2 linked regions of the Mus musculus genome follow. The protein of the gene in region 2 interacts with the protein of the main gene of each other region in a pairwise test. Links are inferred from orthologs where the notes say so. Each region holds a gene or a part of one and is shown on either strand. Other genes may lie near its edges.

The links.
Region 1: the proteins of Crx (region 2) and Gcm2 interact in binary tests that used the Homo sapiens proteins (3 or more experiments, as listed by UniProt). The link is inferred for Mus musculus from reciprocal best matches to the Homo sapiens genes CRX and GCM2.

The regions. Positions count from the first base shown.
Region 1 is NC_000079.6:41,107,163-41,111,401, reverse strand, and holds the start of Gcm2 (chorion-specific transcription factor GCMb), read left to right. Parts: upstream 1-1,413; 5' UTR 1,414-1,447; coding exon 1,448-1,537; intron 1,538-4,239. UniProt on the Homo sapiens protein: Transcription factor that binds specific sequences on gene promoters and activate their transcription. Through the regulation of gene transcription, may play a role in parathyroid gland development.
Region 2 is NC_000073.6:15,867,692-15,870,095, forward strand, and holds part of Crx (cone-rod homeobox protein), read right to left. Parts: intron 1,804-2,404; coding exon 1,652-1,803; intron 737-1,651; coding exon 89-736; 3' UTR 1-88. UniProt on the Homo sapiens protein: Transcription factor that binds and transactivates the sequence 5'-TAATC[CA]-3' which is found upstream of several photoreceptor-specific genes, including the opsin genes.

The DNA of each region.
Region 1 (4,239 bases), on a different chromosome or scaffold from region 2:
TCTGATCCTACAAAGTTTCTGAGGACAAAAGTAATCTAGGGATAGCAGCAACCGTAGCAGTACATTCTACATTTGCCGTGGGTGTTCTTCTGGGTGGCAAATGAGAGATCACAAAATCCTGGTCTATTTTTCTTTAATTATGGATGCATAGAGAGATGGGGGAGAGGGAGAAGAAGAGGGAGAGGGAGAGATATGAGGGGAGGGAAGAGGAAAGGAGAGAAGAGGAGAGGGGAGAAGGGAGGAGAGGAAAGGAGAGGAGAGGAAAGGAGAGGAGAAAAGAATGGAAGAGAAGGGAGGAGAGAAGAGGAGAGGAGAGGAGAGGAGAGGAGAGGAGAGGTATAAAGAGGGAGGCGATTCTTTTGGACTAGAGCTCCAACCACACTTTAAGTTCTTTCTCTCTCTCCATCTATCCCAGGGTCATCCGGTCCCAACCTTCAGATTTGCTTTCCAAGGCTTTTCCTGGTGGGTCAGGTCTGTCTCAGGCTACAGTATGTGTCCGCTTGAGAGCTTACTGGAATGCTAGGCTTACTCTCTGCACGGACTCGGACAGAGAAACTGCAGGAACCCAGAGAACTGAGGAAGCTGTGCCTAGACTGGAGGCGCCTGCTGCTGGCTCTTCATTCTCCTTCAATTTTCCCACCTCGCACTGGAACTAGCTCCGAGGAGACTGCTGGAAACCTTTGCTTCCAGAGCCTCAACCTAAGCCCTCAACAGAGAGGCTGACAGACCATCGGGTTTGGTTTTCCCATAAATGACACAGTCCTCTTTGCTCCCCACTGCCTACTGCTTAACTTCAATTCCCCTTTGCTCAGCGGCTTAAACTCTCCCCTGCATTCCAGGCTGGAGCTTCAGGTGTAGGAGAGGTAGCCCAGCAGAGGCAGAGAGATCCAGTGTCTCTGTACAAACCTGCTTAAAGGTGCTTCTGTTCAGAGGGATGCATTTCAGCACCTCAGCCAATGACAGGGCACCCACTGCAGGCTCTCTCTCTCTCTCTCTCCCTCTCTCTCTCTCTCTCTCTGTGTGTGTGTGTGTGTGTGTGTTTCTCTGTTTCCTTCTCTGTCTCTCTCTCTCTGTGTCTCTTTGTGTGTGTGTCTTTCTCTCTGTGTCCTTCTCTGTCTCTGTATGTGTGTGCTTCTCTGTCTCTGTGTGTGTGTTGTGTGTGTCTGTCTCTGTCTGTCTGTCTGTCTGTCTGTTTTACTGTCTGAATCCCTCCATATCTGTCTCTCTGTTTCTTTGTGTGTATATCTGCCTCTCTCTGTCTCTGTCTCCTTCTGTCTCTTTCTGTCTCAGTCTCCTCCCTCCCTCCTATTTCCTCCCCCCTCCTCCCTCCTCTTCCTCTTCCTCTTTCACTTACCTCCTTCTCACTTGGAAAAGAGTCACCCTGCGCACTCCTCAGCTTTATCTCTCTTTCAGGGCCCTGACTAGAGAGAACTAGAGGCCCCTCCAGATGCCAGCAGACAGCACGCAGGACGAGGATGCTGTGCTCTCCTACGGGATGAAACTCACGTGGGACATCAATGACCCACAGATGCCTCAGGTAAGGAAGACACTGCACTTTGGGTAAAATATGACACTGTCCAGCCAAAGGGGAAACTTCGAGCCAATTCATGCTAAGACCACACACACACATACACACACACACACACACACACACACACACATCTTCGGATATGTAGGGAAGTTAGACTCTACAGAGTGCAGAATAGATTGATGTGTCTTCTCAGAATGATTTACATGTGATTCTCTGAAACACACAAAAGCAACAGAAATACAGACATGTTCCCAAGTAGTCAGCCAGACTCTCCATTTTCTTAACCAAGGGAGAAACTGAGTGAGTCTCTCTCTCTCTCTCTCTCTCTCTCTCTCTGTCTCTCTCTCTCTCTCTCTCTCTCTGTCTCTCCTTGGGATTGGTACAAATTCAAGGCCAGTCAGGGCTACTTAACAAAGCCTCCTGTCAAAACAAAACAATGAGAAACCTCACTCTTTACTCGATTATTCCAAGTTCAAGAGAAAGTTTTGGAGAAATGTAAATACCACTAATTCTCACATGACCAAGCCAGGCACTAAGAGGTGACTGGAATCTAAAACAAATGTCCAGACTGGAGCGATTCCTTGACAGTACTCCATCACCTGCTGAGAAGATTCCACAGTCGGGATGCAGAAGTCGCCTTGCTCCACTCTCACGTCCCTAGCAGTGGAATGCTTGTCCTTTGGGGGAAACTTTGTTTTTTTTCATTATCAGAGCCAAGTACAAGAAATAAACTAGGCAGTTTGTGTTTAGATCAAGACTAATGGCTGAAAAGTGTGTGTATGTGTGTGTACAGTGTGTGTGTACAGTGTGTGTGTAGTGTGTGTGTGTAGTATGTATGTGTGGTATGTGTAGCGTATGTGGTATGTGTGTGTGGTGTGTGTAGTGTGGGGGTGGGGGTGGTGGGGGTGGTGTGTATACATGTGTGTAATGTGGTGTGTGTGTGGTATGCGGTGGATGTAGTGTGTGTGAGTATGATGTGTGTGGTGTATGTGGTGTGTGTGTGTGTGTGTGTGTGTGTGTGTGTGGGGTGTGGTGTTCATGTGTGCAAATGAACTTAGCGGCTAGAGATGATTGGTTTCCCTAGCATTTACAGAGTGGGCTTCCAGTAAAGTCCTGCTTCAAGGGTTTGAAATGTGGCATTTAATGGCCTCTGTGCTATGCCAGATGATACTCAGAGATGAGAGACGGTTGACCAGGATGTGTCGCCTCTGGTTGAGGCCAGCATTTGTTTAATGGACACATGTGTAAGGAGCTTGCCTCGCTTGCTCATGTTCAGCCTGCCTCCTTCAGCATCTTGTAGGACAACTGTTCTGAACAGAGATCGCAGAATGCATGTCCCATTACTGCTGACCTCAGCTGCTGTAAATCCCAGAGAAAACATCTAATCTCGTGTTTTGAAAAAGAATCGGATCCAAACGATACAATACAAACATGACCTCAAAGATGCATAGATATTGGTTTTCCTTTTGGGGGGAATCTGCTTTTATTTTATTTTTTTTTTATTGTGTGTATACTATGTGTGCCCATGTGTGTAGAGGCAAGTGCGGATGTCACAGGATGGTTTCATGAGTCAGTTCTCTCTCTCAGCCATGGGATTTAAGATTTAACTCAGATGGTTAAGTTTGCAAGGCCAAGCCTTTACCTGCTAAGCTGTCTGGTCTTTAATCAGGAGTATGTCTAACACGTGAGAAAGGACAGGAATAAAGACAGAAACAGCAGTAACAAAACAATCCATCTCGTGCACTCTCTCTCTGTCTCTCTCTGTCTCTCTCTCTATCTCTGTCTGTCTCTCTCTCTCGTGTGTGTGTGTGTGTGTGTGTGTGTGTGTGTATTGTCAACACATTAGAGCAAATGAAACCTCCTTTCAGGTATGCATACGCCACATAGACAGACACACAGACACAGACACAGAGACACACACACACACACTTATCTTTCTAGCTCTTCTAACTGGTCGAGTGAAGTAAACTGTCTTTGTGACCTTGAACTTTTGTTATTCTCCGGCTGCTGTCCTGTCATCAAATGATGAAACTAGATAACAATCTCAAATTGTCCTCAGACATACTGTCATCTTGCAATGTGTGAGCGTGTGTATGTGAGCATGTGTGTGTGTGTGTGTGTGTGTGTGTGTGTGTGTGTGAGCATGCATGCTGGCAACACATTAGAACAAATGAAACCTCGTTTCAGGTGTGCATACCACACAGACAGGCATACAGATGCACACACACAATTAGAAACAAGCATAAAATAAATCTTTCAACTACTAAATAGAAGCAGAGTTGAATGCTTTTCTTTTTAGGGCAGCTGGTCAATTGTAAGTTTTTGAATTTGCCTTGCTTTACATGATCTGCGATTAGGCAAATGAGAAAAATGCCCCCGAATTCCATTCACCTCCGTGCACTGGGAGAAAAATGTAAAAACTGTCATTGCGGCCTCATTGTTCAACACATCTTTGTAATGTGCTCTGGGTCCACTTTTCGTAGACGAGATTAGCCTGAATCTCGTTCTCCACCTTGGAGATTTTGGTCATCAGTGTAAATACTGACTTGTTTAAAAAGAGTGAGCAATCTGGAGATCTGAAGAATAGCTTCTCCACAGAACACAATGTCCGTTTGATATTTTGATATCACTTATATATATTGTGGTGACCTGAATGCTGAGCTGTGAAATTTAGAGACTGAAATGTGCTTTAATCTTGCAGTGCTTGG
Region 2 (2,404 bases):
AGAGCTACTCTCCTGGAATCTAAGCTGGAGGAGACAGCTTGAGTCCAGAAAGAGTGATTCCGCTGGAAGGGGGGATATGAAGCCCCTTCTACAAGATCTGAAACTTCCAGGCACTCTGATCTTTGTAGTCCAGAGGGTCCATGGGATTGTAGGTAAATTTCCAGGTGCCTGTGGGGTCCTTGAATTCCAGGCTGTCCACAGGACTGTAGGTGCTATAGCTCTGGCCTGACAAGGAGGTGGGGGACTGGGCCAGGGATGGCCCCACAGAGGGGCCTGAGAGGGGGCTGAGAGCCGGACCCCCAAGTTGGGGCACCATGGGCGAAAGGTAGGGATCCAACCCACTGAAATAGGAACTTGGAGATGCATAAGCTGAAGGGGAAGAACAGAAAGCAGAAGCCGGGGCATAGGTCATGGCATAAGGGGCTGAGGTGAGAGAGGGCCCAGAAGCCACTAGGCCGGCTCTCTGGGCCTCAGGCAAAGGAGCCTCTGAGGCTGGACTCCAAATGGACACGGTGGCCACTGCTGTGGTAGGTGAACCTGAGGGGCCAGGCAGAGATGGGCTGTAAGAATCTGAGATGCCCAAAGGATCTGTACAAACATCTGTAGAGGGTCTCGGGGATGTCCCTGCCTTCCTCTTCGCAGGACGAGCCTTGGTCTGTGCCCCCGGGGGCTGCTGTTGCTGTTTCTGCTGCTGTCGCTGCTGTCTGCATTTCGCCCTACGATTCTTGAACCAGACCTAGATAGAGAGAGGAAATATGGGGGGAAGGGGAGTGAACTCACATGCCAAGAGCAGACAAAGCTGATGGTAAGACCCACACATCACCACTCTGCATCCAATGATAGGGCAGCTCTGTCCATGATCTGTGTACCTGTCCAATCATGCATGTACACGTGCACACAGAAACCTACATGCACTGATCACACACACATATCATACATGCAGGCAATTATACACTACATGCATATACCAGTCATCATGTATCACCTACCTACCTGATTGATCACACATGCATACATACAATCATACATTATTCTCACATAATATGCATGCAGTCACACACACATACACATACATGCATTCAGCCACCCACCTGATCCCATGAATATGTATGCAATTGTGTATTGTCCTCACATATATACATGTAATCATACACATATGAACATATTATATTTACTTGTTCCTGCTTATGAATGCATGCATTATACTCACATATCATACATACAGTCATGCACGTATGAACACATTATATTAACATGCTCCTACTCATGATTATGTATATGTAATCATACATGCATTATAGTCACATATCATACATGCAATCATGTATCTATGCATAAGTACATATATGCATAGATACATGCCATCATGATACATGATACAGCCAATTTCATAGTACACATATGCATGCAATTTTACATATAGATATAATAATACCAAAGCTAGGGATGTAGCTCAGTGGTAGAGCATACACCTGGCATACACAGGGCATCATATAAGAAGAGTGACATATGGAACGTGAGGGGCATTTAGACCACTTCATAAATATGGCTGCTACCCTTGGCTTCTCTCTTTCATCCACTCTGGATCTGACACAGGCCCACAGAAAGTTACAGTAAGGGTATGAGGGGTCCAGGGAGCAGATCATCCTACCTGGACCCTGGACTCAGGCAGATTGATCTTAAGAGCAACCTCCTCACGTGCATACACATCCGGGTACTGGGTCTTGGCAAACAGGGCCTCCAGCTCCTCCAGCTGGCTCCTGGTGAATGTGGTCCGCTCCCGCCGCTGCTTCCTAGGGGCACCTAAGCGGGGGCAAATTAAAGAACCCTCAGGATAGCTAGGTCTGCTCGCCAGAGGCCATGAGGTACAGAGGAATACCTGTCCCAAAGACCTTTCTTCACGTCCATCAGCCTAAACAAGGAGCTTTGATTGATTCTCTGGCCTCCTAGTGGCTGCTCAGTCCCCAGAGGAATTGAGGAATTGTGTTCCAGTCATTCATTCACTGACAGAAACTGGTTTTAGCCCTACAAGAATTTGCCCTTCCATTTTGTTCTTGTTTCATTCCTACCCCCTCCTTCCCTTTCTTCTCTTCCTTCTCCTCCTCTCTCTCCCCTTCCTCCTTTCTTCCTACTTCTCTCTCTCCTATCCTCCCTTTTCTCTTCCCCTTCCTTTTATCCCTCCCCCTCTCTTTCATTACAACAGGGTTTCACTACATAGCCCAGGCTAGCCCTGAAATCATGGTCTCAAGAGATCCTCCTACCTCAGCCTCCCAAATCTCTGGAACTACAGGCAAGGGTCACTGTACCAGATGCCTCTCTTGAAACTTTATGCTCAAAGATATATTTTGTTGAAACATGACGTTGTCAATAACCATGACTTCTGCTTATAAAAGTGGTAAGCCTC